Elephas maximus indicus: one gene and its partners. The protein of the gene in region 4 interacts with the protein of the main gene of each other region in a pairwise test. Links are inferred from orthologs where the notes say so. Each region holds a gene or a part of one and is shown on either strand. Other genes may lie near its edges.

What was found.
Region 1: the proteins of FAM131C (region 4) and HPCAL4 interact in binary tests that used the Homo sapiens proteins (3 or more experiments, as listed by UniProt). The two-hybrid records come from large-scale screens. The link is inferred for Elephas maximus indicus from reciprocal best matches to the Homo sapiens genes FAM131C and HPCAL4.
Region 2: the proteins of FAM131C (region 4) and GRN interact in binary tests that used the Homo sapiens proteins (3 or more experiments, as listed by UniProt). The link is inferred for Elephas maximus indicus from reciprocal best matches to the Homo sapiens genes FAM131C and GRN.
Region 3: the proteins of FAM131C (region 4) and VSNL1 interact in binary tests that used the Homo sapiens proteins (3 or more experiments, as listed by UniProt). The two-hybrid records come from large-scale screens. The link is inferred for Elephas maximus indicus from reciprocal best matches to the Homo sapiens genes FAM131C and VSNL1.

Annotation. Positions count from the first base shown.
Region 1 is NC_064821.1:81,329,815-81,337,709, forward strand, and holds the start of HPCAL4 (hippocalcin-like protein 4), read right to left. Parts: upstream 3,083-7,895; 5' UTR 2,959-3,082; intron 2,825-2,958; 5' UTR 2,719-2,824; intron 1-2,718. UniProt on the Homo sapiens protein: May be involved in the calcium-dependent regulation of rhodopsin phosphorylation.
Region 2 is NC_064837.1:50,850,099-50,857,360, forward strand, and holds the start of GRN (progranulin), read left to right. Parts: upstream 1-4,199; 5' UTR 4,200-4,276; intron 4,277-4,563; exon of another isoform or gene 4,564-4,661; intron 4,662-4,955; exon of another isoform or gene 4,956-5,131; intron 5,132-6,859; 5' UTR 6,860-6,866; coding exon 6,867-7,004; intron 7,005-7,115; coding exon 7,116-7,250; intron 7,251-7,262. UniProt on the Homo sapiens protein: Secreted protein that acts as a key regulator of lysosomal function and as a growth factor involved in inflammation, wound healing and cell proliferation. Regulates protein trafficking to lysosomes, and also the activity of lysosomal enzymes.
Region 3 is NC_064830.1:33,335,971-33,343,817, forward strand, and holds the start of VSNL1 (visinin-like protein 1), read left to right. Parts: upstream 1-4,814; 5' UTR 4,815-5,025; intron 5,026-7,847.
Region 4 is NC_064821.1:55,772,418-55,780,751, reverse strand, and holds the start of FAM131C (protein FAM131C), read left to right. Parts: upstream 1-5,287; coding exon 5,288-5,291; intron 5,292-5,821; coding exon 5,822-5,937; intron 5,938-8,334.

The DNA of each region.
Region 1 (7,895 bases), about 26 Mb from region 4:
ACCTTTAGGTGTAGCCCACCAGCACCTCTGACTCAGCATGTATACAATCAGACTCATCCTCAGCCTGTGCTGGTCCTTCTTTCTCCATTGCCCCTTCCTTCCCTCCATCCTCCTACGGGAGGAAACTCCATCTTAGCAACCTTCACTTTTTCCCTCTCCCTTTCCCCTAGGTCCAACTTGCCATCAGATGCTGACATTTCTTCTTTTGAAGTACTCCTGGCACTTTCTCTATGTGCTCTCTCTCCCCGTGGCCAGGGGGCTGAAATCCAGCTGTTTGCCATGGCATGTACCATGGACTACAACTGCCTCACAGATAGTGCTTTTCCTCTGATTCTTCTGCTCCAGTTTTGCATGGAAGTATAATATAGGCTAGAGGCGGCCATGCCCATGGGCCTCCTTCAAACTCCAAGATCATCTAGAATCTCGCCTCAAGGTGTCCACCTGTCAAGCCTCACCACCCATTGCTCCCCTCACAACCCCCACACTCCTTTCGAGTTAGGCTTCTCACAGCTGGAACCTACCTCACCTATTCATTTAGTTGCTTCTGTACCCAGGGTGATGCAGGCTATAATAAGCCTTGAGGGCCTGGCTGAAGCCCAGTTCCTTCGGATCAGCTTCTCCCAGCCAGCTGCACGGGCTCAGCACTTAGGCATGAATAGACCCTGTGAGGCCATGGAGTCCGGCCACCACCAGTGTGTAGACTTCAGGAGTCTCTGACTCTCACCTGGTGCTGCTCTAGAATTACAAGATGGAGCCTGATTTGGTTTGGTTTGGATTAAACACTTGCCTGAGCCAGAAAAAGTTCCCAGACCTTTTTGCTCAATGTCAAGGAGCTTATCCCCTCCCAATATGGCCTAGTCCACTTCTGAGCAATTTGGACAGTGTGCAAAGCCCTTTCCCCTTTGTTCCTAAGTTTGCCCTCTTATAGCTCCCCATCACTGGTTTTAGCTCTGCTCTCTGTGGCTGCACAGAACTGCCCTGCAGAGACCTAAAGGCAGTGCCTGGAGCAAAGCCTTTGGTGGATTACATGAGAGGGGCAGGACCCCCTCTTTCCTCTTTGAAACTTAGTCAGGCTGTTTTATTTATTTGTGTTCTCCCGCCATCACACTCACCCTGGAGACAACGGAACCCAGACCCAAGAAAGGAAGGGTTCATCTAAGGTCAACTAGAGCTCAGCAGCAGCAAAGGAAGGCCAGGACCCAGCTGGGGCATTTTCTTTGGAGATCTGGCCCTGCCGAACATGGGTAGACTCTTCTGCTTAACTCTAGAGGGCTGCCCTCCAGCCGTGAAGGAGCTAGCACTGCCCCATGCACAAAGCCAGTGTCCCCTCTGTGCTCAGAGGCTTCTTCCAGGGTTGTGGGCTTAGAATGGGGAGGTGGCAGTGAGGGTGGGAGGGGCTGCAGAAGGCAATAATCCAACACCCTTGCCAGCTTCAGAGGAGCGGGTGCTGAGGCAGTTGCCATGGTGACAACAGCTCCCTGGTCAGGAGATTTTCTCCTTCCTCCTCTTGCTCTTCTCCAAGCAGCAGCAATAGAAGCAACAGCAGCCAGGGCCTTTGGGTTTCAACTGGGCAGGACTTCTCCCTCTCCTAACTAATGAGAGGCAGCCCATGTTAAACAAAGAGTAGGCTCTGTTGACCACACCCATCTCAGGGCTGTCCATGCCAGGGTGGGCTTGTGGTCTAAGAGGCACTCTTGATGGTGGGGTTTTGGAAAGTGTGTGGGCAGAGGTGGCCTGGGTAAGAAGTAATGTCCCCTCAGTGAGGACTGAAGCCCTCGGACCTTCTCTCTGAAAGGTTCTAATGGTTCAGAGAAAGAGTGAAAGAGTCCAGTTTCCCCACAATCTGTGACAGAACCAGAGCACGTCAGTGTGGAGGATTGTTAAAGACTATCTCATCCAATCCATCCCCCTGTCCTGGGACGGATCAGAAGGAAGTGATTTGGCCAAAGTCAAACAGCAAGTTGGGGCAAAGGCAAAATCTGAACCCAGCTCTGCCCTCCAGGTTCAGGCCACCTTAGGGAAAGAAGTGACATGGTTCACATGGAGCTTTGGCATGGTCCCACAGGGCCAGTGGGAAGATGAAAGAGGGGAAGGCACTGGGCCTAAGAAGATCAGAGAGGATACAAATGAGAAAGATATCTGAGAGGTAGAATGAGAAGACTTGGTGCTTTGGCTGTGAGGGGTGAGGGGAATGGAGCCTTGGCAGTAGCGACTGAGAGGGTGTGGGTGGTCTGCTGGAGGTGATGTCCCTGACTCAACCTCCAGTCAAGGCAAAAGAGGCCAAACACAGGACTTTGCCTCACTAGGGCCATGGGGAGGGACTGCTGAGAGAGCGTGTTTATAAGGAGGGAGACTGGGGGGTGGGGGGAATTTTCCTCCCTCACATATGCTATGAGCTCTGTCAATTTGAGGGGTGGAAAGTGGGGACAGTCCAAGGGGACAGTGTGAGGTGGGAGTGGGCTCTTATGGAGGTGGAGGCTGTCTTTGGAGGCAGGGGCCCTGTGGTGTGAAGTTTGGTGAGCTGTCAGTGGGGCTGGGTGGTGTGGTTGGGGGCTATTGGTGGGGGTGGGACATTGCCATGGGGCTGGGAGACCATCCATCGACAAAGCAATGGAGGAATGGTAATTGGTGCTCCCTCTAGCACCAGAGACACCACATCCCCAGGTGTGTGTGTGTATGTGTGCACACGTTCAGGGCCAGAGCAATGGTTGTTCTTACCTGAGCTGGGATAAGGGGGCAGCTCTGCCTCCCTTCCTGGGACCCTTGAGGCCTGGACTGAGGTGGGGGCCCCCTGCCCAGGGGCGGGCCCTCCAGGTGCTGACGCCTATGGGGGAACCAGGGACAGGGAGGTGAATCAGAGGGGTCTCGAGATGAGGATGGGAAGAGGTAGTGGAGGGGGAGGGGGCAAGGGGTTCGGCCCCGAGGGGTGCCTCAGAGGTCCTGCCCCACCCACGTTACCTGAGGCCGCTCAACGGGTCGCTGGAAGGCTCCGAGCCTTGGCCGGCAGCGGGGACGGAGACTGGCCCGGGGGAGCTGTCGGCTGGGCTCTCCTAGGTTCGCGCTGGAGCCGCCTCCCAGCTCTTGTATCACTATGTGCTTCTCAGAAGCGACACGATTTGCATAAGGCCCGCCTCATCTCGGGCAAGTTGGGCGTTGATTGGCTCGGCTGAGGCCGAGTGACAGGAGGGGTTTCAGGTGGGGATGGGTAGCCAGCGAGGCCTGGCTGGAGAAGCGCGCCCCGCCCGCCAGCGCTGACCTTCCGGGCCTCGAGAGGAAGGGGGAGGGCTGTACCCCGGTGTGCACGGCCGCCCTGAGGCTCAGACCCCGGGTGCAGTCTGGGGTGAAAAGTGCCAACGATTGAAACGGGTTCGCAGATACAACCGCGCCGTTGCTATGGAAACAGGAGAGTCACAGCCAAGTCTCTAAGCCTTCCCTTACTGGGCCCCAGCGGAGGTGGGGGTGGAAGAGGGGATGAGTCACAAGATGCGACCCCCCCCCATGTCCCACCCGAAATTGAAGAAGGGCAACAAGGAGCTGCTGATAGCTGGGTGGGAGGTGGAAGAGCTGGGATAGTCTAGCTGCCCACGCCTTCTCATCAGCTCCTCATACACACCCACTCCCCTCAAGCTGAGGAGCAGAGAGGAAGGTGGGTGGGCGCAGAGAGCGCAGTATCAACGGCGAAGGACCCACCCTCACCTCGCCCCACGCTGGCCCCGGACTGCCTCCGCCACCTCTGCAATCCCTAATTTCCATCTCTCCCCAGGCGGGACCTCCCTGTTGTCCAAGGACCCCAGCAGCCACTCGGTTTCTCCCCGAGAAGGACCCCTCTGCCTACTCCATGGACCCCTCCATTCCCCACCCTTCCGTCTTTCCGTCCCGCAGACGGAGCCGGTCCCCAGCCGCCGCCAGTCTCCGGCCTCGGATGTTGACACAAACCTATGGCGGTTTACACTGAGCGGGTCTGGAAGGCTTCAGGGCTCGGGGGACACCTCCTCCTGCACTTGGGGGTCTCCCCAAAGCCCGCCCCGGCCGTCCTGGCTGCACCGGCAGCCGAGAGCTCCCGAAGGTGGGAAGGCACCCTTTCACCGTAAACAGGGGGCCAAAGGGGAGCAGATAGCCCCGGGCTGGGCCACGTGCGGGGGAGGGGCTTCTGGGAATCTGTCAAAGGGGCGGGGCGTCTGGGGCGTGGTCGAATGGGAGCGGGGATACCGAAGACCGCGGCGAGGAGGCGGGGCTTCTGCCCGAGTTGTGAACCTTGAGGCCGCCGGGGCCATGCGGGGTGGAGGATGGAGGTGGGCCTGCTGCGAGTGGGGTCAGGCTCCTGGGGCTGGTCCCAGCAACTCCCGGGCCAAGCTCGCAGAGGAGGAAGCAGGGGGCGTCCCTCTTCTTTAGGAACCGTAATACTCCCCCTTACACTGATTTTGCTGCCCATTCTATCCGCTGCAATCTATTTCCTCTCTGGGCCCTTAGCAGGGTGCAAGCTACCTGGGGCTCCAGTTTGGAGGCGCATCCCTGGCCCCCATGGGTGGGTGACTCACAGGGTGGGGATAGGTGCCTGCAAGCGCTGACTCTACCACTTCCTGGGTACCTTCTGTGCTCTGGGGACCCAGAGACGGCAAGAAGACATCCCTGCTCATAGAAAACCATAATCTGAGGCATGAGGAACTGGGGAGACAGCCTGGGAAGTTGGAAATAGAACCTGAAGTTCTAAAATGAGTCTCTTCTTTGTCCATTTCCCCACAGATGACCCTACATGTGATTGTAGGCAAAACCCTTCTCTCCCTGGACCTCCCTTCTGGTCTGTAAAATGTGGGAGCTGGTACAGGAAAAGCAGAAGAATTTCAAATAGGAGGCTGAAGAAAGGCCATTTGTCATCCTGGGCAGACTAGGAAGAAAGGCCTGGCGATCTACTTCCAAAAATTAGCCAGTTGAAAACTTTATGGATCACAGCAGAACACTGTCCGACTCACTTGTTTTGAAATTGTCATCATGAGGGGTCAATCACTGGAGGAGGACATTGTGTTTGGTGAAGGGAAGTGCCAGTGAAGGCGAGGGAGACCTTTGATGAGATGAGTTGGCACCTGAGCTGTAATGATGACCTGAACATGCCGGCCACCCTGAGGCTGATGCAAGATTGGGCAGCATTCATTTCATTCTGTTGTACGTAAGGTCACCATGAGTAGGAGCCAACTCCCTGGCAGCTATCTGTAATCTGACTGCTCCACTGTGAGCCACTTAAATATAACTGATATATATTGAAAGCTTAGATTCCTGAGTAGTACAAATGGTTTGCACTTGATTACTAATCAAAAGGCTGGAGATTCAAGCCCACCCAGTGGTGCCCCAGAAGAAAGGCCTGGCTATCTGCTTCTGTAAAGATTACAGCCAAGAAAACCCTATGGAGCTCAGTTCTACTGTGTAACACGTGAGGTTGCCATGACTTGGAATCAACTCAATGGCAATGGGCTTGGTGTTTTGTTTTATTGGGAGCTTACTTTGTGTCAGGTGCTATTCCAGCACTTTATACCTATTACTTAATTTATTCCTCATAAGAACTCTATGAGGTAGGTACTATTATTAGTGCCATGTAACAGATAAGGAAATGAGGCACAGAACAATTAAGTGACTGGCCCAAGTTCACATACCTAGTAAAGCTGTAGAACTAGGATTTGAACACAAGCAGTCTGGCTCCAGAGCTCACACTCCTAGCCAGCACACAATACTGCCTGTAACTAGGCCCTTCAGGTCCTTAAGGAAAAGGACCTTGGGTTGGAATATTCGCTTCTGATCCCCCAGTGCTTTTGAAAGGCAAAGCCCAGCCTCCTGGGAGCAGCTTCTCTATCTCAGAGTCCACTAAGACATAGGGTTCCAGGAGCAGCAGTAGAAAGAACAAGAACCCATTGCCATCAAGCTGATTCCGACTCATAGTGACCCCATAGCTCAGCTATAAGGGGGCCAGTGTGTGACTCCTCCTGGCCACCCCCATTCCCCAGCCCTGGAATCAAGCATAAGATCCAGGCAGGTTAGATGGGAAGGAAGGCAAGGGGCAGTTGGTGAAGCAGGATACATTGTGCTTGCTCTGGACCTTTAAACCAGGCAGGACCACCTGTGCAGCCTGATCCATGAGTCATCTTGGAGGCTCCCTGCACCCCTGCACTATTCCTGAACTCCCAGTCATAACCTACCTTCATCTGCTTCTAATACTAGAGTCTGAGATACTGATCTTGCTCCTGCCTCTGACACAAGGTTTAATGTTTAAAGCAGTCACAGCTGACATTGACCGAGTTGCTGCACTATGTACTAGCCCAGGTCTTTATCTACACCATCTCACGTAATCCCAAAGATGACCACTGTCAGGGTAATATTAAAATATCTAGCAACCTGTTAAGGCACGAGCATTACCAATCAGAATGGATGCTGGCCTTAGTGCTGAATCAAGATCTTATTAGCTCTCTGTTCTGCCAAGAGTTAACACTTTAGTGACTAGATCAAGGGATGGGGGCACGGGCAGGGGAGAAGTTAGGGTGATGAGGGGCTCAGGGCTATGGCTATCTACTTACCAATCAATGTTGAAGTATTTCCATGTTTTAACAACCAGTTCAGCTGTACTGGTGCATAGCGGCTGATTTTCAGCCCCAGTATTTTTATCTTCAAGGTCCCTGGGTAGTGCAAATGGTTCGCACTCGACTACTAAGCTAAAGGTTGGAGGTTTGGAACCTATCCTGCAGCACTGTGGAGGAAAGACCTGGCGATCTGCTTCCGTAAAGATTACAGTCAAGAAAACCCTATCGAGCAGTTCTACTCTGTAATGTCATGGGATCGACATGAGTCGGAATAGACTCAACGGCAACAGGATTTGTTTGTTTGCTTGTTTATTGTTATATTCAGAGAGGCATTGATGGTCCAGTGGCAGAATCCATGCCTCCCATGTGAGAGATTCGGGCTCCATTCCCAACCAATACTCCTCATGCGTAGCCACCACCCCTCTGTCAGTGGAGGCTTGCATGTTGCTTTGATGCTGAACAGGTTTCATCAGATCTTCCAGACTAAGACCAGGAAGAAAGGCCTGGCAATCTACGTCCAAAAATCAGCCAAGAAAGCCCCATGGACCACAACAATTGGATCCGTAACCAATTATGGGGATGGCACAGGACCAGCCAGTGTCTGTTGTGCATGGGTTGCCATGAGTTGGGCCTGACTTGATAGCAGCTAACAACGACAATTGCTCTCTTCATTTCATGGTAGTGGAACAGATGCTCAGAGTGGTTATACAACTTGAGCCTTGTAACACAGCCCGTTAGTGACAGTGCTGGGATTCAAACCTAAGTCTAACTGACTGACCTCTGTTCCTGGGAAGGGGTAATATCCAGGACCGAATTGGGGTTTCCACTGTTCTGCAGTTGAAGGCTAAGCCAGAGGAAGGTGGTTTGAGTGCTGGGGCTTTGTTGTGACCTTGCTTGTTCTCAAGCTTGAAGCCTTGGCAAACACTTCTTCCACGTTGTTGACGGAGTGGGCCCTGCAGAACGAGGAGGGTAGAGGAGGTTGTGTGAAAGAAGGGACAGGGTGACTGTGTGGGAGGCTCCAAAAGGGGACACAGGAATGGAACCCAGCAGGACTTCAGTGAGGGCAGAGGTCTGCAGGCAGTGGCCACTCCAATCTGCTTTACCAGAGTGCTAGATTCCTTTCCCAGTTGGTCCCCAACAGTCCTTTTATCATGGATAATGCCTTCCTGGCTCCCTGGGTTTCCTCAATCTCAGCAAGTGCAGCCTGTTGACAGCTGGAATCCCCCTGAGTCCTAGATATTTCACAGTCTCCTCGTGGCTGGAAAAGAGTGAGATCACCACGGTTGGGCTTCTTGCCTTTCCCCTATTGGCTAAGCAGGATTCTTTTACATT
Region 2 (7,262 bases), on a different chromosome or scaffold from region 4:
AGCAAACTCCTTGTCAATTTCAAGGCGTGGACCTCCCAGCAGAACCAGGAATCAACCAATCCCCTCGGTGGACCAAAAGTCGTTCAATCTTATTGGGTGGTTTTACACACCACTTTTTTTTTTTTTGACTAGTAAACTAACTGCAAGGTGCAAAATAGACCAATCACAGGGAAGCCTGTGGCCTAACCAATCATTTTTTGGCAGATTACAAACCCAGGGCCAGAAAAGCCATATATAAACCATTACACTGCAGTGACTTTTTGGCGCATTTATATTGAATTGTGTATTTAAAACTAAAAAAAAGAAGGGAGATGGAAGAAGGAAGAGTGAGAGGGGGAAAAAAGAAAGGTAGAAAAGAAGGAAGGAAGAAAGATATAAAATTCTTGGAAGGAGATGGCAGGGGGTCAGGTTCAGGGCCCACCCCTGCCTACCTCTGTCCACCCGGTGCTACATTCTCTACACTAGAGCCAAGCCTCACTTTGGAATCAGGCTGAACACCAGGGCATTCAGGGAAGGGCTGAGTCACCAGACTGGGCAGAAGCCCAGGTGGTTATGCTTGAGGCCCTCACAGCAGGTACAGGCAGGAGAGGAGGGTTGAAGGGGGTTTGCAGAGGTGCCTGGAGAGTTGCAGGCAGGCAATGCTGGTTTTCCCAGGGACCAGGGAACCTGGGGCCAGATGTAGGGCAGGAGTGAACATGTCTGTGGAGATTTCAGGCTGTGGTTTATTTCCTTGTAAGCAAACCCAAAAAAGGACAGAGGTCGAGATACTAACACCCAGGCTGGGCAGGGTGAGGTCATGCAGGGAAGCAGCATGAGTCCTGGGGACCACAAGGCCTGACAAAGCGGGCCTGGGAAGGGCTTAGGGAGGGGCGCAAATGGGGACTGACTCCTTGATGTCATATCTCTTTTACAGGGGACATCTAGTTCAATTGGCATAACAGTTTATAAAGAAAAGGCTCTACATCCTACTTTGGTGAGTAGAGTCTGGTTTCTTAAAAGCTTGTGAGCAGCCATCTAAAATACTTCACTGGTCCCACACCGTCTGGAGCAAGGGAGAATGAAGAAAACCAAAGACACAAGGGAAAGACTACTTCGAAGGACTAATGGATCACAACTACCTCAGTCTCCACCAGACTGAGTCCAGCACAACTAGATTAAAAAATAATAATAATTTATTTGTCATTGTTGTTGAGAATATACATAGCAAAATATACACCAATTCAACAGTTTCTACGCAACTTGGTGACACTGATTACAATCTTCAAGCTGTGCAACCATTCTCACCTTCCTTTTCTGAGTTGTTGCTCCTCCATTAACATAAACTCACTGCCCTCTAAGGTTCCTATGGGATCTTTCCAGTTGCTGCTGTCAATTCGATCTCATATAAATAGTTCTTAAAAGAGCATAATGCCCAAGGCAGACGTTTTTTACTAGTTAAGTTAAACTATTGTTTGGTTTTAAGAAAACTTGGGGGATATTTTGATTTAAATTTTAAGGATTATCTCAGGGCAATAGTTTTGAGATTCATCTAGCTTCCATGGCTCCAGAAAGTCTGGATTCCATGAGAGTTTGAAATTCTGTTCTGCATTTTATCCGTTTTGATCAAGGTCCCCTGGAGGTGTTCTTGAGGAATGTGGTAGCTGGCCCACAGCCCTGGAGGATGGAGTGGGGCTGGGGACTGTATCCTCTCCACTGAAGTGCCCAAGGCTCATTTCATCCACTTTGTCAAGTGGTTTAGTAAACGTATTTCACACTTCCTTGCCTTAGTAATCAGAGTAACTGCATATGATTTAAACTTTTCTGAATGCTCTGGCTGATCCCTTGACTGTCAATTACTGTCCTTTAGGAGGGATGCCCTTACGGTCGCCAGTCCTACAGGGCTGTTTTGGCCCTGCATTCAATGTCCCACATCTGGTGTGCTTTTGAGTTCTTCAGTCTGCTTTTCAGCGGTTTTGTCCCCTTAAGCCTTTAATCCTTGCTAAACGCCAAGTGCCTGCCTCTAGAAACTTCAACATATCCCCTCATCTTTCTGTTGCTGGGAAATCAGATAGTCACATTTATTAAAAGTGTATGAAATCAAAGGGCCTATGCACGTGGAAAACTTGGGACTCCCTTATGGAAAAAGTTTGTGATCCTTTACGACAGGGTTTCTCAACCTCAGCACTATGGACATTTTGGGCCAGATTATTCTTCACCGTGGAGGACTGTTCTGTGCATTGTAGGATAGTTAGCAGCATCCCTGACCTCTACCTACTAGATGCCAGTACTGCCCCCCCAAATTGTCCTCTGGGGACAAAATTACTGCTTTAGAGATTGAATTTGTGATGTCTGTTTCAGTCACTTTGGAGGTTTTTTCTCCTGCATGCATTTTCTCTGGTTCTGTGTAGTTGTGATGCATAGATTCATTTATTAATTTGCTTAACATTTCATGAAGCTCAAGTGCGTGGTGTATTCAATAGAAACATAAGCCATACTCCCTAACCTCAGGATACACGGGAAGAAAATACACACAAATAAGTCACCAGGGTGCAAAGTAGTCCTAGTTTAGCAGCAGGAGCCTTATCCACTTTCTGGGCCCTTTCTAGCCCCAGGCTAAGAACCCCTGTAACACAATTCCACAACTCTGTCACTCCTTCCCTACCTAGACTCCCACCACCCCTATTTGTCTCCCTGCCCCAGCCCCGAGTGCCTGGGTGTCTCCAACGTTAAGTGCTCTACTACCAGCCAAAAGGTTTGAGGTCTGAACCCACCCAGAGGCACCTCAGGAGACAGGCCTATTGATCTGCCTCTGAAAGGTCACAGCCTTGAAAACCCTAGAGAGCACAGTCCTACTCTGCACACGTGGAGTCACCAGAGTATGAATTGACTCGATGATAACAACCACCTTACCTCAAGCCCTCTCCTCAGCTTGTAGTGCCCTCTGTCCACTCTGCCTCTGTCCACTGCCCTTCCTCCAAGGCCCAGCACTTTCCCTGGGCCTCTCTTCTGGCCCATCTCCCCATCAGCCACTGCTGCCTGTGCCAGGCCACTGGCACTGAGCAGTTCTGGCTCCTGTCACTGGCTAATCTGTTCTGTGTATAAATTTTCTCTCCTTACCTGTCATGTCAATTTCTGGAAGGCAGGGCCTACTGAAACTAAGAAGTACTTCCACTTCCCACCCCCAGCCCAGCCTTGTTTCAGGCACCCAGCAGCTACTCAAGGCCACTTGCACTGAACAGGGCATTCAACCTGCCTATGTCTGCCCTTCCCATCTAGTGTTCTGATGCTCTTCCCAAGACCGCCCCAACCCCTGGCCTCCAGTCATTTCTACAGCCTCTCCCCTAAAAACCAGTTGCCACCAAGTTGATTCCAACTCATGGTGATCCTGTGTGTGTGCAGAGTATAGCTGTATTCCATAGGGTTTTTAAGGTTTTGTGATCTTTCGGAAGCAGACAGCCAGGCTTTTCTTCACAGGTGCCTCTAGGTGTGTTCCAACTTCCAACCTTTGTGGTTCTGAACTGTTTACACCACCCAGGGACTCCTAGCCCCTCCCCACCTGTCAGTTAAAATCCTCCCAGACACAGCTCAAGAAGGAACTCCCAAAGTGGAATTAATCTCTTCTTCCCCACCCTGTGGCAAACCTACTACCTCTTCATATTCACAATATATAGCACCTGGCACACGACCTCGTACATTTAAATTAGATTTATTCCGATTTGTTCTCCCTTCCTTATCCGCGGCCAGCCGTGAGCGTCTTGAAAAAAAGGCCTGGGGGCTGCTTGTCCTTATCCTCACAACCCTCCTCAACCCCCTGTGGGCCCTGAATCCCTAGCATTTAATTAACTGCTGAATAGAGTAGAAAGGGGATGCAACCCGACATCCTGTAAACGCCTTTGAGCAAAACCCCTGAGGGGTAGCCCCCTTGGCTGTTAACATCCCCAGACACGTTGCCTCCTTGAGGCTAACTCTCCCAGGAGCCCAGAGGGGTGGAGGTAGGAAGATCTGCAAGCTGGCTCTGGACGGCAGTCTGAGAAGGGCCAGAGCGTCACATGATTCTCCAATCACATGATCTGCAGGGATGGGGGGTGGGGAGAGATAGGAAGGGGGAGTGAATTGGGTTGAAAAGAAACACAGTATTCCAGACTGGCCCTGCCTCCACGTCGACAAATAACCAATGGGAGGGAGGCATGCCGGCCGCTGGCCAATGGACACTGAGGTGGGCGGGTCCTCGGGCGGAGGGGCTGTAGTGCGCGAGCCGACCGGCTGCTGCTGCCAGGGAGCGCGGATCCGGACGCAGGTAAGAGGGTGGCGGTGCACACCTCTCACTGGCTCCTTCCCAGGGGTCCGGCCGGGGACTGGTGAGCTTGAGGTGCTCCTGGAGTCTCAGCCGGGAGACGAAGGGAGATTTGCGTCCAGAAACTCCTTTGAGGGTTTCTGATGCACTGGAGGGAATTTTAGGGGAGAGTAGGTGGTAACTGCAGTGACCCCATTAGAAGGGGGCTTTTTCCGTGCCAGGATCCCCGGAAGCTGCAGCCCCTTTCCTCAAAGCAGGTACCACCCTATTCTAGAGCCATCTGTTGACAGGAGCCGGCTCCTTCCTCTTTTGGTGGTGGCGGTGGAGTGGTCCCCGTGGCTGCCCCGGGGAACTGGGAGCAGGACTTGAGACCCTGGCCGCCCCAAAGGTAGGGACTTGGGAGTGGTGACCGAGCCCCTGTGTTGTGTCGACTTATAGCCACCCTATAGGACAGAGTAGAACTGCCACACAAGGTTTCCAGGGAGTGGCTGGTGGACTCGAACTATTGACCTTTTGGTTAGCAGCCAAACGCACCACCAGGGCTCCTGGGTTTTGTCTGGCTCTTCCTTGCTTCCTCACGTGGGGGTAGGACGAGCTAACTTCCGCCTCTCCCAGCCACTTTTTCCTCCTCAGTTGCAAATGGATTGGCTCACTTTTGGGGAATCTTCCTCTCTGCCACTAGGAGTTGGGGGGTGCCCCCTAGTGGAAGATGACGGAGCTGGGGGCTTGAAGACGCTCCTGTCCTTTCTGTTGTGGAAGTGTGCGTTGGGGGTGACAGGCCGCCGCTAGGAACCCTACTGAGGAGCAGCCCGAGGCGGGGACTGGGCCTCCTTCTCCCCCGTCTCTAGTTCTGTGTGTGTATGTATTCAATAGAGATTTGAACTATACACCCTAACCTAAGGATACACAGGAAGGAAAATAAACATAAATCACCGGGGTCCAGAACAAGCATAGATCTGTGCAGACAACCCTCTGGCCTCAGCCAGGGCAGCAGGATAGGCAGCTGAGGAGTGAGTTTAGACACCCCCACCCCTGAAGCAGGTGGGGCCAGCTGCAGAGGCTTTTCCTGGGAGCGGTGGTGGTGGAGGAGAGGGAGAAAGGGCAGCATCCCATACCAGTCTTCATCCTCATCTGTTCTTTGACCTGGGGGAGGGGGCACCTGAGGAAAACCAGGTGAGGGAGTGACTGGGTGGGAGAGATTTCCTGATCCACTCACCTTTTGAGGCTCTCACAATCTGTTGGTGACAATTCCAGGACTAGGACCCAAGTGCAGTTTCCACAAAACCCCTGTTCCCTTTTCTTCCCTGCCCCTTCCACCTGCTCAGGAAATGCCTCTGTCCCCCTCCCTTTGCTTGGACCCCAGGCCTCTGTTTGGGGGGGTTCATTCCTGAGCCCTGCCTGGGGCATCACTTGTGAAAAGAACCAGGTCCAATAAGCTGTGCAGCCATCAAAACCTGTCGTCGCCATGACCTGACGTACAGCAGCGGCACCATACTTAACATCTCTGAGCCTCAGTTTCCTCCTTTGAAAAGTAAAGATAATAATTATTATTTTGGGTGGTTATTGCAAAGACGAAATAAAATAGGATGTTATAATTGGTTCTCAAGGGGCACAACCCACACACTGGGCAAGTCAGTGCCTCCCAGGCCTGCCCCGTTGCTCTCGTCAGGCCGTGGAGCTTGGGGGAAGAGTTGTTTAGGAAGTGAGAGGCTTAGTTCCTCCTGCTGACTCAAGTCGAGGCAGGTGAGGGCCGAGAGGCCCTCATGGATCCCATGTGGTCTCTTTTTGTATGTGATTGAGTTTTGGCGCTCAGGGTAGAGGAGAAGCAGGGGCAAGTGGTTGGTATGTTTGGGGAGTCTGAGAGGGCCCTGGTGGTATTGGGGGGCTCTCAAAGAACAGGTGTCTCAAAGGCCGCCCCCCAGCCTTGTGTCTCCCTCCATGGGTGTAGGGGTAGGGGAGAGTCAGCTGGCCTCTGGGAAAAGAAGCCCAGACTCCACTGTCCACCACACTTCCCTTTTTTCAACTTTCTCAACCCTGTGGTTTCCCATGTCATCATGTGACCACCCCACACACGCAGGCCGTAGCGGGGTACATGTGTATGCACACCACCAGGCTGGGAGGTATCTGGAAGAGCTGGCTGAGGACGAGGGGCCGTGGAGCTCTCTCCTGCCACCCCCATCCCTGTTTTCTCCTGTGGCTACTGGTGCTCACCACACCCCACCCTACCCCACCCAGGTGGCCTGTGTCCCCACAGATCAGACCCACAAAAACCACACATCCTCCTGACTGTCACATGCATACGTCTCTGCCACACGCACAGACTCAGGTGTTAGGCCATGTCGGGGACTCAGATTCACACATATACTCATGTCAGCATTGATGCTCATGGAGACACACACACACAGGTGACATGTAGAAGTGGAATCTCGGACCCCACATCTTTCTTCCTACTTGGACAGGGAGTTGTTGGGGAGGCTCAGGTAGGCCTGGGCCTGGGCCTGGGCCTGAGCCTGTGAATGGCCTCAGAATCAAGGGTGGCATGGGCTTAAGCTAATGAGTTCCCAAATGCTGGTTGACATTTTGCAGGTGGACCATGTGGACCCTGGTGAGCTGGGTGGCCTTGGTGGCAGGGCTGGTGGATGGAACACAGTGCCCAGATGGTCAGCTCTGCCCTGTGGCCTGCTGCCTGGACCCAGGGGGAGCCAGCTACAGCTGCTGCAACCCCATTCTGGTGAGCACCCCTCAGCCCAGGCGGAAGCTGGGAGCCTAAGTTTCCCCAGGTTGGCCTGAGGACAAAGCCAGGCATGGACCCTTTGGTTTATCCTCGTCCCTCTCTTCCCAGGACACATGGCCCTCTCTGTCCACAACATGGAGCAGGCATCTGGGTATACCCTGCCAGACTGATGCCCACTGCTCTGCTGGCTCTTCCTGCCTCCTCACTGTCTCGGGAACCTCCCGCTGCTGCCCATTACCAGAGGTGAGGGTGCCA
Region 3 (7,847 bases), on a different chromosome or scaffold from region 4:
CATTATTCAGCCGGAAAAAAAATAAAGTGCTAATACTTGCTACAACATGGATAAGCCTTGAAAATATTACTCAAGTCAGTCACACACACACACACACAAAACACACATATTATATGATTCCATTCATATGAAATCCAGAATAGGGAAGTCTATAGAGACAAAAAGTAGACTAGTGGTTACTTAGGGCTGGGAGATGTGATGGGACGGTTACGGGAGTGACAGTTAGCTTTTAGTTGATGAAAATATTCTGAAATCAACTGTGTTGATAGCTGTACATCTGTGAATATGCTAAAAAACAGTCAAAATGTACCCTTTAAATGGGTGAATTATATGGTATGTGAATTATATCTCAATAAAGCTGTTTTAATTTTTTTCTAATTCAAAATTATATTAAGGAAAATGGATTCCAAAAGGAGAAAGAAGTCAGAATGATCTATTCTAAGACAAGACAGGATTTTGAAGACCTTTCTGGATCAGATGGTATCCAAAGTACTAAGATCCCAGAAAATGGACCTATGAGTTTATTTGCAGTGGCAATTCATACAACTAAAAATGAGCACAGCCCAGCGTTATTTTTTGTTGTCGCTACTTTCTGTCAAGTCCATTCTGACTCATGGATGCCCCATGTGTGCAGAGTGGAACTGCTCCATTGGTTTTCAAGGCTGTGGCTTTTCAGAAGCAGACTGCCAGGCCTGTCTTCCAAGGATCCTCTGGGTGGGTTCGAAACTTGTGACTAGTACTTGAGCACTTAACCCTTAAGGATTACCTAAAAAATCATTAAAGAAAATAGAGGTCATATGTTGTGTACTTCTGCTACCACTATTTTTTGTGTATGTTGTCACTAACAAAGGCAGTGAAAATTTCTAGCCTAAGAGCACCATCATGAATTTATAGGTTAGACTCAAATATAGAAGAGAGAATGAAATAAAACATTTTCTATTCGTTGGGCTGCCAATCACTTGCATTTTCTGTGATCATTTCTCAGGCTCCAAAAAACTTCCAGGAAATTCAAAATTTTGACAGTCTAGAAACTTGAAGCAAGGCTGTAAGACACTTTGTGGATTGTTCAAATTTTGAGGAAAATTGCTGACTGCAGCCAGAGGGTGGTCTTCCAAATTGAATTTAGATCTAGCCATGGGTTACAGAGATAAACCATGATGAACTGGGAAAAATGTCCTACTGGGTCCATTAAAGTAGGACTTTTAACCCCTCATCTGCACCAATAGACATGGAACGCTCCCTCTAACTGCATGAAAGTCACTACATCATTATCTTGGATTTTTCACTTGTTTCAGAAAAACATGCTAGAAAGTACAAACATATACAATGAAACACTTTATGTATCAGAAAAACTAATGTGCAATTTCATTCTAGGAAATAATGTGCTGTTTTAATTTAGGAAAGTTATTTTGTCTATTCATATATATATTTTTAAATAGGATAAAAACCAGGATAAATGTAATTATCTTACACAATGCATCTCCTCTGTAAGGGTTAAGGGTCATAGCTTTTGGGGATAGAGGCACTTTACCCACACAAGAAAACTGCTTTCATTATTCTTTATACATTTAAGTGAGTATAAATCCATTTTCCAATTCCTGTTTCTTTTCATCTTCTAACGATGACTTTCAAACACTTTATTTTTCTTCCAATTTCCTAAATGCCCCATGCCTTAAATTCCACCCTTCTTTGCTCAAATATTTTAAACACAAGCACTTATAAAAAATACTACAATAAACTCACAGGACTGCAGGCTTAGATCTCTTGTACTACTGCAGTTCCCACAACCCCCTCCCTACAGTACTTTCCCACCTCCTCTCCCTCCACTCCAGAGAGTGAAAGCTGACATCGCCGTGTTGGGGACGCGTCTTTAGGTAATGGGACAACTGCTATAGCTGATGGCGTTCCTCACTCGACACGATGCAGCGTTTCAGTCCCTCTGCCCCTAGGCGCATAGGAGCGCGCGCCAGCGCATCTCTGCTCTGTGACCACCGGTGACATTTGCAAATGTCTGAAAGAGCAAAGAGGGCTCTCTCATTTTTTAGTGCCCCATCAAATTCCGCTTTGAAGGTTCATTCTACTGCACTGAAGAGGGGAGCTGCTTTCTATATATCATTCTTTCAGTGCCTTTTAGAGCTGGTTTCTCTACTGTGACTTGACGCAGCATATAAAACTCGACTAAAAAACATCTCTGGGGAAAAAAATAAAAGAAAATTAGATGAAACTATAAAACAGCTGGAGATTAAAAACTAAGCTATCGTATTAAGGACTTCCAACAACGCTGCAGTGCAAATGGAACTAAGAATAAATAAATCCGCCTATACAATTAAGGCAAACTTGCTTTACGAAAGCGCATACATCTAAATCAAAGCGACCCTACAAAAGATCACGGTTTAAAGTATCAGTGGACATTTTTTCCCCCCTAAACACAAGTGGAAAGCATGTTGTCTAAAAGCAGAAACTGTCAGAAAAGCGACCGCCAGAGCGCGTAAATAGATAGGACTCTTTGAAACCCAGAAATGGCATCTTGACACCCTCGGTTGATGCAGACTGTAGTACGAAAGAGGCTGTTCTCTTGAGAGAAAGAACCCAGCGTAAAATGCTTTTGTAGGGAAAAATCTATAAAAACGGGAAATTACTTTCAAAGCCTGGGAGGTTGTCTTCATAGCCAACCAAAGCTGCTTGTCCAGAACTGATTTTTGCCCTCACCCCATCCCAGGAACAGAAGGAAAACCGCCTGGCACGCGGAGGAACCCCGCTACGCACTGCGCGATGCAACAGGAGCGCAGAGCGGGCGCCCAACCACAGCCGCGCAGCGGTGGAATGTGCTGCGCTCCCGCAGCGCTCCGAGGCCGCGCGCTCTGCTCCGCGCGGCTCCGCGCTCCGGGTTTCCGCGGTCACCAGCACCCCGAGGAGGAGCCCCGCGGAGAGGGGGCCGCTGCGGGGAGGGGGCTGCCGCGGGCCTCGTCCCCGGAGTCCGGAGAACGCTCTGTCTACGGTAGCCTTCATGAAGCGTTTGGCTCAGAGAAGCGTGGTCCTGGGCTCCCGGACCGCTAGGTTGGCGTTGAGACTGAGGCCGCAGTTTCGGCTTAGCTACCGGAGGGCCTCAGCCTAGCGGAAGCGTTTGATTGCCAAACTAGTCAATCGGAGTTTTTCCCAGATCTCCGTAGGTAGCCATAGGTTCGTTCCAAGCTGGGCTCTCCCACTCGGGGCCAAGAGCATCTCCCTCCTGGCAGCGAAGGTTTGACACTCTAGAGCCCAGTTTGCCCCTGGGGACGCTCTTCATGCCCCCAGCACGGAAAGGTTAACTTTGCAGATTTCCTGAATGTGGTAAAGTGTGTGAAAGCGCTTTGCAAATAGTAAAGCGCTCTCCTTAAAGTGAACATCCTTCTGTCCTGCGCCCCAGGATTTCTCTTCCCCGAATGTAAAATTCCCCCCTGAATGTCAACCCCAGGTGGTTTTTTTTTTTTTTTCCCCACCTCTCCGTGCCTAGAATAGTGGCTGATACTCGTTCAGTGAATAACTGTTGAATGAATGTACATACACACACACTTGGAGAAACCGATCAGGTTGGAACATCTCGCAATTCTTTTTTTTTTTTTCCTGGTAGGGAATCGACCAAACATTTACTGGGCATTACTGCTTGCCAAGTCTTCTAGGCTTTGGCAGGCCAGCGGGTAGCGGGGGAGGGCTGCAATCCAGCGCCTCAGTCAGGAGCACAAGGGGCTTTATAAAATCGGCTTGTCCAAACCATCAACCCTAGATTCGCAGGATAGTTCAACTCCACCACCCCCACACACATCCAATGTATAGTCAGGAAATATGTACTTATTAAACGCATACAGAAGGTGCTTATTGATCGTTTCCCCAAGGTCATACAGGTCAAGAAGCAGAACTTGGACCCACTTCTCTTCAATACACATTTCTCCAATGCCTCCTCTGGATCAGGACCATGCTGCGCGCTGGGGTACGTAAAGGACACGGCTCCCAGTACTCCCATCATAAGACCCTCGGATGAAATGGCCCACGGCAAAAATGACCGCCATAACCGTTCCTTCAATGAGCCAGTGCTCACAAGTTCTCTGGGAAGGCTTCCTTCCCAGAAAGGGTTTCTGCAGTTTTCTTTTTCACCTTAAAAACAAAACAAAAACCATTGCTGTGAGTTGGAATCAATATATATATATATAGGGCAGATTATTGCTGCCCTTACAGAGTTTCCAAAAATGTAAATCTTTAAAGAAACAGACTGCCACACCTTTCTCCCGCAGAGCCGCTGATGGGTTCCAACCTCCGACCTTTTGGTTGGCCCCCGATTGCTTAACCACTGTGCCACCAGGGCTCTTTTCTTTCACCTAACAGCCTGACAAAGGATTGGGCTAGGGGCTGGTTAGGACCGACGGCGGCGGGAAAAGCAGAATCCACGTGTCCTGTCTCTGGCCTGCGCCTTTAGCCACCAAGCACAGTGACCGCGGGGCGTGGCTAGCTCAGCCCGCCCTCCTTCACGTCTGTACAGGTGAGGGTTTTGCCCAAAGCAGGGCTTCCTTTTCCAATATACTTTCCTTTAGAGTTTCTGCTAAAATCTGGAGACGCGGAATCCACCCGCGGCAACGCCGAGCCCTTCCAACTGAGCATGCGCCATTGCCGGGCGGCTTTTGATCACCGGCTCCCGAGCTCCCAGAGCTGGGGCTGCGGAGCTCGAAAGGGGAGGAGGGAAAGGGGAGGGTGCCTGGAGAGGCGGAGGCTCGCGCGCCTGCGCACCCAGCTCTAGGGACCCTAGATTTTCTATGGGATTCCCAATCTGCAGCAGAGACTTATCCGAGCGTGTTGCGGCGGCAGCTGTGGTGGCAAGGCGCGATCCAAGAGGGATTTAAGCAAACTAGAGCTCTACAGAAGAAAAGAGTGTGAGAGAGCCACACAGAGACGGCTTAACCGTTTATCCGAATTAAATATATATATTTAAAAAAAGAAAAAAGAACTGTTGATTTTTATCATTTGCGTTAAGTGACCGTGCGAAGCGCTGTAACTGTAAGTGGAAAACACAATCTTCGTTGCCTTTTTGCATGTATAGAGCAACCAACTGCCAGGGAGCTGCTTTGGCTATTGTCACATACTTTGCTTTGCATAGATGCGTCTAAATGCATAGTGACAATTGTTTTCGTTTATGCTGGCAGTGTGAATGTGCAGTTAGTAGTGGGGGACCTTTTGGAATAGCGGGGATGGGGGAAGGGGTGTGTTTATATGCGGAGTGTTTAGGGGATTGTCTTAGGATGCCTTTGAGACTGATGGAACCGAGATGCTTTTTTAGTTCAAGTCTATAAATAGACGGATTTCCTTACACCGATTTAGGTAGCTAACTGACCGATCGTGAAGTTTTCCGCTGCTGATAAAAGTATTAAGCGGTTGCAATCAAGTACCAACCTGTCATCCTTGGGGTTGGTGCACCATTTTTCTCAGCGTGGAAGAGCAGCAAAGGTGTTTGCTAAGTACAACTGAGTGGTCAAGATGTTACGGAAATCAGGGTTGAATTCGAAGCGGGATGTTAGTATTTAGACCCCACGGAGTTAGGCGCTACATGAGCACATTTCGCTCTTCGTATTTAAAAATGAGTGGATAATTTTTCGTTTTTCAGTTTTCGTCATGATGGTGAATGGGCAGAAAAGGAAAGATGTTCTACCGCACAGTCAACTGTCTATTCGGAACAGAGTCTGAGACTGGGAGTCGCTGAATGGGGACTGTCAGACCCAAACTAGTTACCTGCCTTTGCATTCCACGTCGCATTCTGGAATGTAAACCCAGATGTATGACATCTGGTAGTGTTTTTATTTTTTTAGAGGAGGAAAGGTCGTTTTGTGTATTGAGTTAAAATGGGTTGTTCCTTGCCCAGAAACTGGAAAAGGGGTCTTTGCAAGGTCAAATCCCGTCTGGATATCAAATTGCTGAATGCTCTCTGGGGCGCTGGTGAACGTGTGGCGAGTGGAGGGCGCGAGGAAATGGTGATGCTGCACGTGAGTGCTCAGCACTGCACGCCTCGGTGCCCCCGTGAGATGGGAGTGTGGGAATCCATTTTTCTGGAGTTGCCCTCCTGTCCATATTTTGGAGACTAGAATGAAATAGAAATGCTAGTGGGTGTGGGAAACAAAAGCTGCATAGTCTCCGTGTCACTTCCCACTTGAAGGAAAGAAGATAAGGAGTTTTATGGCTACATATTAAATTTCTTTTAATTAAAGGAATTTCTGATTGAGACAAATCCAAAATGAAACTCTTGTGGAAATGCATTTTACCCCTACTGCCATCTAAATTACCTATGTGTGGGGGGGGGGTCTCCTGCATCATTGCACACCCTACTCATCAGTGCACGCTTATTAAGCTTTGAATGTTTAATAACCCCAGAAAACGCTGCACTGAAGCAGCTTGGCAGAAGGGTATGAGGCAGGCAGACCAGAGAAGAGCGTGGCCAGTGTCTGACCATAGCTGCTGGATTTTCGTGGAAAAAGGAGATCCAATTTTGGGGATGAAATGAAATAAATTTTCCCCCAAATAAAGCAAATCATTACAGGGCTCTTTGACCCTTTTATCAGTCCAACTATTAGGAACCCCCAATTTATTTAAATGGATGAGATTTGAAATTGAAAATGTAAGAAGATTCTCTCCTTGGAAGCCCAAAGCATAAATCTTACTGCCTTCTAAATTCTTTGTGCCTGCCTTCTTTACTTGAGGGTGGAAGGGCCAATCGTTTGTTACAAATGAGCCATACTCCTTGTCATCATTTTCGAGTTGGCATCGGTTCGACAACTGGTATAGGTGTTGCACTGCATTGTTAATGCCCATTAAAAAAAAAAAAAAACATTGCTGTCGAGTCGATTTCAACTCATAGCGACCCTATAGGACAGAGTAGAACTGCCCCATGGGGTTTCCAAGTAGCAGCTGGTGGATTCAAACTGCCGACCACCATAGCTCTTAACCACCACGCCACCAGGGTTTCCAAATTCATTGTTAATGAGTGGTGGGGAAAAAGGGGAGGTCTGGTATTAAACCTCATAAATATTTGCACTTAGATTCCCGGGCTCATAGGCTATTAGTTATATAGGGCCAGATCAGGAAGAAAACTTCGAAGGCACCTAGTACAATCCCCTCATTTTGCAGATGTGGAAACTGGGGCCCAGAGCCTTAGAGCTAGAGAAACATCAATTGACTTCTAGTCTGTGGAATAGAAACTTAAAAAGCAATGTGGAATGAAAATACTGCTTTCTCTCTGCACTTGCCAGCATCCTCAGTGACATTGCTGCAGTCTCCAGGTAACTAATTGCCTGCTTCAGAGATGGTCTCCTGTGGTCCCTTTCAGACCATTGAGCTTCCCTTCTCTGCCTTCCCTTTCCTTGTAAGGTCTCTTTCCATCTCTTTTCTATTGCCCCTCACCTCTAATACACCCACATCACTGGGTGTTTAGTCTGACATTCCTAGCCTCCTCTGCATCTCTATTTCTTTGGAGCCCTCAGAATTTTTCCAGAGAGCTCTGTGGCGAACCAGTCAGATTCTGCTCTTTCTGTCTGAGGACTGCCCAGGCCAGGACCTTTCGCCATCCCCTCCCTGCTCTATTCACCAGAGCGTTTCAGTGAATTCAGCCTTCAGGGATACTGCAGGTGCCATCGCCACGCTCTTCTGCCCATCCAGCCTCTTCTAAAACTGCTGCAGCTGCAGGGATCGGGACGTGGTGGAGTGAGCACGCTGCAGTATAAACACACCACAGGCTCTGCCAGCTCTCCCCGGGCTCCTAGAAGGTAGAGCCCAAACCGGAGCTACCTGTCTCCAGCCTTCAGGGAGATCCCTCAGATGAAGTCACCTGCAGA
Region 4 (8,334 bases):
AGCAGCCAAGAACCTTAACTGTTTGTACCACCCAGGAACTCCATTGCAGGGTAAAAGGGATAGAAAGGATCAAGTGACACATAAATACGAAAGTGAGGGAAGGCTTCCTGAAGTAATAGTGTTCGAGCAGAGACCTGAATGGAGTGAGGGTGTGAACCTGTGGCTTTCTGGGAGGAGACAGTTCCAGGTCGGGGGAGGCCCTGAGGCAGGAGTGTGTTTGGCATGTCTGAGGAGCAGCCAGGAGAGTGATAAGTGTGGCCAGAGTGGAGTGAGGGAGGGAGGAGGAGGTGGTAGGAGATGACATGGGAGGGGGGACCATAGGTCTCCCAGGGTTAGCATGTGTTATAGGTTGAATTGTGCCCCCCAGAAATGTGTGTCAACCTGGCTAGGCCATGATTCCCAGTATTGTGTGATTGTCCACCATTTTGTCATCTGATGTGATTTTCCTATGTGTTGTAAATCCTATCTCTGTGATGTTATTAAGGCAGGATTGGAGGCAGTTATGTTAATGAGGCAGGATTCAATCTACAGGATTAGGTAGTGTTTTAAATTAATCTCTTCTGAGATATAAAAGAGAGAAGTGAACAGAGAGACAGGGGACCTCATGCCACCAAAAATGAAGAACCAGGAGGGGAGCATATCCTTTGGACCCAGGGTCCCTGTGCTGAGAAGCTCCTAGACCAGGGGAAGATTGATGACAAGGACCTTCCACCAGAGCCCACAGAGAGAGAAAGCCTTCCCCTGGAGCTAGCACCCTGAATTCAGACTTTTAGCCTCCTAGACTGTGAGAGAATAAATTTTCTCTTTGTTAAAAGCACCCACTTGTGACGTTTTTGTTACAGCGGTACTAGATAACTAAGATCACATGAATGAGTTCTCCAGGGATCCTTCTTGGTGGTGGGGGGCATGGTAGGGGGGCCTGCTGGGAGCAAAGCACATGGTAGGGAACAGTGCACAGAAACCAGAACAAGGGCTCCAAAATGATCTTAGGGGGAGGGTAGAGCACCCCCACTGCCCTCTAGCCCCCTCAGCTCTGTCCCCCGCCAACACCATGACAAGTCTTCTAGTCTCCAATCAGCCCACTCTCTACCTCCCCCACCTACTAGCTCCCAGCCCTGCCTCTGGATTTGAGTGACCCCTTCCACCTCCCAGCCCTGAGACCCTCCCTGGCCTCAGCTTCCCCCAGGAAGCTCTGCTGTTGCTGTCATGTGCCATCTTGTCAGTTTCGACTCATAGCAAGCTCATGTGGCAGAGTGGAATTGCCTCATAGGGTTTCCTAGGCTGTAATCTTTATGGGAGCAGATCACCAGGTCTTTTCTCACGAGGAGCCCCTGGGTAGGTTCTAACTACCAACCTTTCAGTTAGCAGCCCAGCTCTTAACCATTGTGCCACCAGGGCTCCTTAGGAAGCCCTACAGGCGGATATTTTCTTTTGCTGCTTCCATAGGCTGGCCCAAGAAAAGAGCGGTAGGGGCCTGCACCCAGCACAGGGCGAGACTGGAGGCTGGGACGAGGCTCTTGCAGAAGCACCCCCTCCCTGCTTCAACCCAGACACAGTCCTGCTGTACCATCCCCGGCTCCTTGATTCTCCCTTCTAGACCCTATGGTTTACTCAAGCTGTGCTCCTGCCGAGAACACCCTCCTCCCAGCAGTCCTCCTGGCTCAGCTGCCTCCATCAACTTTCCTGTGCAGCCCCCCACCTCCCCAACTCATCGCTCCCTTTGTGCTTTGGAAGACAGAGCGTGAGCCTTGGGTCAGGAGGTCAGGGTTCTAATTCTGACTGCCCTGGGCAAGTGATTTTCCCATCTGTGCCTCAGTTTCCTCATCTGTAAAACAGCTACAAAGTCTTTCCTCTCTGGGTCAATGTGAGAATTCAGTGCCATCACGCTGCAGGGAGGGCTGTGTGGAAAGAAAGCTCCATGAGTGCTAGGGTCCCCCCTGGGTCCCCCCGGTGTTTGAATGAGGAGTTTTTATGCCGGTTTCCTCTACAAGACTGGGGGCTCCATGAGGGCAGGGACAGAGTCTTAATCTCATTTTGTTCCCAGGCACTTGCCCAGTGAAGTGTAGTAGATGGATAAATGAATGGATGGGTGGCTGGCTGGCTGGCTGGCTGGATGAATGATCATCCTCCACGTTGTCACATAACTGGACCTTTCTCATCCAGTTATGGGCCACAGCAGGACCCATCATCTCACTTGATTTCTTCATAGCTATGACCCCTATCTAAATGACCTTACTCATTTGTGAGTTTTTTGTTAATGGTCCATCTCCCCCACTAAAATGTCAGCTTTGTGAAGGCAGAAACCAACTCTGTCTCATTCATCACTTTGTGCCCAGTGCCCAGAACAGTGCCTGCACACAGTAGGTACTCAGCTAATATTTTTTAATGAATCAAAGAGCAAATAAATACATTAATTAAATGAAGTATACGGGAGTTCCAGTTGTCCTCTGGAGATGGAAAGATCTCCTTCAATTCAGTCCATGAATTCAGTCCAAGAATTCCACTTAGAGAAAAAGACACGCACTTGTCCATTCCCTCAACAGTTTCTGCTAACCTATTAATGTGCTAGGCACCAGGATGCATCAAGAAACAGGACACGGTCGCTGCCTTCAACGAGCTGCCACACATAAATAGTTTTACCAAGACACTCTATGCTAAATGCCGTAATAAAGGTAGAACTCATTCAGTAAGTGTTTACAGAGCACCTACTATATGCCAGGCACTGTTCTAGGCTCTGGGGACAGAGAGTGAGCAAGGAAGCCGCTGTCTCTGGTCTCATGGAGCTGACATTCACCCAGGGTAGGTAAGGGGGTATGGTACGTGGTGAAAGCTTAAATAAACAAGGCATAACAGAAAGTGATATGTTATAAAGGAAGTAAAACTGGGCAATGTGACAGGCAGTGGCCAGTGACCAGAGTCGGGACAGGGAGGGCCACATGGGTACAAGGTCAGGGAAGACCTCTCTGAGGAGGTGACCTTGAGCTGAGGTGTGAATGATGAGGTTGGGGAAGAGCTGGGGAAAGAGTGTTCTGGGCAGAGGCAACAGTAATGGCAAAGACTGTGAGACCAGAAGAGACTTGACCATGTGAGGAGCAGAAGGAGGCCAGAGTGGCCAGAACAGAGTGAACAAAGGGGCAAGACAACTGAGGTCTGGGATAGGATAGGTGAGCTGGCCAGGTAGGGCTCTGAAGGCTGTAGGAACGTGCTGGCTTTTCTCCCAAAGTACAATGGAAGAAAGCCGTGGCAGGCTATAGGCAAAGGAATGACCCAATCTGACTTAGAACGTAAAATGCCCAGTGGCTGCTGTGTGAAGAGTGGACTACAGGGACAGGAGAGGAAGCAGGAGACTGTTGTGGTCCAGGAGAGAGACAGTGATGGCTCGGACCAGGGGAGCAGTGGTGGAGGTGGAGAAGGATGAGCCTGGAATGTATGTTGGTGAGTCAATAGGATTTCCTGGTGGCTTGGTTGGGATTGAGGGGGAATGAGGGAAGACAGGACTCCAGGAACTCTTAGGTTTTTAGTTGGTTCAACTGAGTGGACAGTTGCATCATTTCCTGGAGTCAGAGAGATGAAGAAGAATGGACACGGGTTTGTGAATCCTTTTTTGCCCAGACTGGTTTGAGATGCCCATTGGGCAGCCAAATAGGGAGTTGGAAGTTCATCCAGGAGTTCAAGCGAGGGCTTAGGGCTAGAGGTGTAAGTGTGAGCATCAGCAGCACGCAAATGAGAGAATGGAGGTGAGAAAGGGCACAGGATGGAGCTGTGGAGCAGCCAACAGTTAGGGGTTGAGCAGAGAAGGAGGAGCCAGCAAAGGGGACAAAAAGGAGCAGCCAGGGAGGTGGGAGGGAGGCCAGGAAGAGAAAGAGGAGGGCTGGGCAACATCCATGTGCTGCTGACAGGAAGATGAGGACAGAGAAGTCACCATTGGCCTTGGCCACATGAGGTACTGGCTGCTTGACAAGGCCTGTCTCATGGAAGCCTGCTTGGAGTGAGGAAGGAGAAGATGGGAGACAAGGAGACAGACGTGCTACGCAACTCTTTCCGCAAGTCTGGCCGCAAAGGAGGGCAGAGGTTGGGGAAGTAGCTGAAGGCAAACAGAGATGGAGAGAAGGTTTTTAGAAGATGGGAGATGCTTGGGCTTCTTGGATGCTGATGGCCTGACCCTGTCGTGAGGGGACTTGATGAGGCAGGAGGCAGGAGAGAGAACACAGAAGAGTTCCTGAGCAGAGGCAAGGAGGCATTGCAGTACACGCGATATTCATGGAGTGATTCGGAGAGAGAGAAACACTGATGACCCAGCAGAGAGAACAGAGCCCCAGGTAGACGGCAGGGATGCGGCCAGCTCCTGTGTGGAGGAGCTGACCTTGTGGCAGGAGAATAAGTAGAGGATATGGGCAGAAATGCAGGCAGGATGATGACTTGGGGTGGGAAGATCAGGGTGATGCCATCGAAGGCTTCTAGATTTCGGTGAGGGGTGAGGAAAAGCCAGCAGCAGAGTGTGAGGAGGTGAGCTGCGGTGTTGGAGGTTTGAGAAGGAAAACTAGTTACTTTCAAGTCGATTCCGATTCATGGTGACCCCATGTGTGTCAGAATAGAACTGTATTTCAAAGAGTTTTCAGTGACTGATTGCCAGACCTTTCATCTGAGGTGGCTTTGGGTGGTCTTGAACCATCAACCTTTCAGTTAGCAGCCAAGCTCATTAACCATTTGCACTACCCAGAGACTTGAGCTGGAAAGGTGGGGTGCAATAGTCCACCTGGTGGGAAGCAAACTTAGCAGGAAATGTAGAAGGATTATTGGGCAGTGTCCAGACTAGGGGTCACCAACTTAACACAAGGCTAGTGACTTCCTCCAGCAACATTCAGCTCCTCAGGCCCAGGCTCAGAGCAGATGGATAATTAGGTTACAGCCGAGCTGAGAGTTTAGGTATCTGCAAAGGAGCGCATATAAGATGAGCCAGGGAGTCTTAGCTGGGCAAGGAGGGAAGTGAGGGCATACAAAGTTATGGGAAAAGAATAGGACCAATGGCCTGGGGGTCTCTGTAAGGTCAAAAAATGTTGGAGTGTGAGTCTAGAATTAGGAAAAGGGAGTAAAAAGAAGCTGGGAAGTGAAGGCAGGAATGCAAACAAAAACATGGACACCAATGTTCATTGCAGCACTTTTCACAATAGTGAAAACAATCAAAATGTCCATCAGCAGATGAATGGATAAACAAAATGTGGTATATACTCACAATGGAATATTCTGCAGCAGTAAAGAGACATGAAGTCCCGATGCACGCCTCAACATGGGTGAGCCTTGGAAACATCATCCTGAGCGAAATAAGGCAGCTGCAAGAGGACAAATCCTGCCCAATCTCACTTACACGAAATAAGCAAATATAGAGAAACCAAAGGTTATTAATGGTAACCGAAGGTGGGAGAGAGGGAGAAAGGGGGAATTTTTGTTTGAGGGGCGTGGAGTTTATGTTAATGGTGGAATGTTTTAGAAAAGGATAGCAATAGTGGTGGTACAACGTGAAAATGTAATCCATGTCATTGAATTGTAAACGTGGAAGTTGTATTGCCCAATGTTTTGGCATGTATTTTCATCACTGTACGTGTGTATGTATGAAGAAGATGGGGTAAGAAATTCCTACAGAGAGGACCAGCTAGGAGAAGTGTGGCTGAACCCGTCACCTGCTGTGGACTTGACCTTTCCTTTCTGTAAAACGACAAAGGGTTATAATACAGTAATACCCATCATGCAGGGCTGATGTAAGGTTTTGTAAGCAGTAGGGGACTGAGCTTTTGTAAATTCCTCCTGTCATTTTTATTTTCAGATCTGTTCACAAGTGCCCACAAGGACTGCCCCATGCCCCAGGGCACAGACCCCTTGAACCCAGACCTGCCCTCCAGCCACCCGCCCACCATTGCTCCAGACCATGTCACTGGCAAGGTAACTGGTCACTCTTCACCCCTTCCTTCACCCCTGCTTGTGCTCTGGTCCCGGGCCTGTCCCCTGCAGCTCCCCACAGGGAGCAGAAATCGTTCCAATTTCCTTCCCTCCCTGCCAAGCTTGGCTACTTCCCGTGGGGTCAGGGACCTTAAGGCATTCAGCCAGGAGGGGCCTGAATTATGCTTTGCCTCTAGGCCCTGGACTAGGCAGTGGTGTCAGTAGGGCGTGGGAGGTGGAGGCAGGGAGTGCAGACTGCACCAGGTGACACTATCACAGGGTGACACCAAAATGACTATGTATAAAATTTTTGTGCAGTGTTTCAGCAGAAATTCATTACTTTTCATAAAAATATTCCTGTCGTTATAACAACAAAAAAAGTTTTCATAAGCCCAGCTTACATGTATCAATATACCTAGAAGGCTAAAACTCTAGGCTAAATTACTTTGTTGAGAATGAAGTAGCAACTGAAGGACAAGAAGGAGCAATATACAGGAATTACGATTTACAAGTAACATTAGTACAAAAAATGTTACTGGTCTGGTACGGGAAGAGGTCCGTGAGGAGGGCTGACACCATGAGTTACCACACTGAGTGACACCAACCCTAGTGATGCCACTGCATCTCAGAAACTCAGTTTCTTCTTCTGTAAAATGGGAACAGTGCCACTTACCAGACGGGTAAAAGCTTACCTGGAGAAGCATAAAAACATAACGTAGGCATAATTCCTACCACAATGCTATGTGGTATATGCTCAAAAAAAAGGGGGGGGGCAATTATATGACTGGTAGGTTCAAGCCACAAACCATGGGGCAAGGGTGGCAATTATGCTCCAGGATTTGGAGCCCCTAGCAAAATCCTCCTAATCCATATGGATGAGAATTCCATTCCAGAGAGCAGTGCAGGCTGCTAAGGAGCTGTGGGCTAGTAGCAGAATTTGTTATCTGCAAAAAAACCTTCAGTACAGGACTCTTTTCTAAACAAGCCTGGTCCCAGTGGTGTCACTAGGGTTGGTGTCACCCCGTGCAGTGACTCATGGTGTGGTAACTCATGGTGTCACCCCCACACCACCGTAGACCTTCTCCTATACCAGACCACACAGAATTCTTAGTAATGTTTTATGTACTTAACGTTACTTGTAAATCATAATTCCTCTATATCACTCCTTTTCCTTTGATCACTACTTCATTCTCAAAAAAGTTATTGATAGAGGTTCACAAATACTAATTACCACAATATTGTAGCTAAAACACCAGAAAATTTGACAAAATCAGCAAATATAAGAACACCAAAACCAAACCACTGCCGTCGAGTCGCTTCCAACTCATAGTGACCCTGTAGGACAGAGTAGGACCACCCCACAGGGTTTCCAAGGAGTGGCTGGTGGATTAAAACTGCTGACCTTTTGGTTAGTAGCTGTAGCTCTTAACCACTGTGCCAACAGGGTTTCCATTAGAAGGTTCAAAAAGTAAATTAGCATAGAATTTTAGCCTTGTAGGTGTATTGAAAGACCTCTTTAAAGTGTTAAAAAGCAAAGATGTCATTGTGAGGACTAAGGTGCACCTGATCTAAGCCATGGTGTTTTCAATCACTTCATATGCATGCGAAAGCTGGACAATGGGTACGGAAGGCCAGAGGAGAATTGATGCGTTTGAACTCTGGTGCTGGTGAAAAATATTGACTATACCGTGGACTGCCGGAAGAATGAACAAATTTGTCTTTGAAGAAGTACGACCAGAGTGGTTCTTAGAAGAGAGGATGGGAAAACTTTGTCTCGCTTGCTTTGGACATGTTATCAGGAGGGATCAGTCCCTGGAGAAGGACATCATGCTTGGTAAAGTAGAGGGCCAGGGAAAAGAGGAAGACCCTCAATGAGATGGACTGACACAGTGGCTGCAACAACGGGTTCAAACATAGCAACGATTGTGAGGATGGCGCAGGACCGGGCAGTGTTTCATTCTGTTGTACATAGGGTCGCTGTGAGCGGGAGCCGACTCAGCGGCACCTAACAACCAGGTATACTGATACATGTAAGCTGGGCTTAGAAAAAATGTTTTTGTTGTTATAACTGACTACAGGGATATTTTTATAAAAAATAATAAATTTCTGCTGAAACAGTGCACAAAAATTTTATAGGCAGTCATTTTGGTGTCATCCCCTCTGATAGTGTCACCTGGTGTGGTCCGTACCCCCTGCACCCCCTAGTGACCCCACTTCTGAGATGTTAAGTCAATAGTCTAAGGATAGCTGGCTAGGAAATGGCAGTCAGGTCTCAAATCCAGGTCTGACCCATCCCCTGCACCCACTGCCTCTCCTGGCAGTGCCACCATTGCCATCCCCCTCCTCTTTCTCTGTACGAGACACTAGGGCAAGGCCCACAGGTAGGCCGACCCTGGCCTC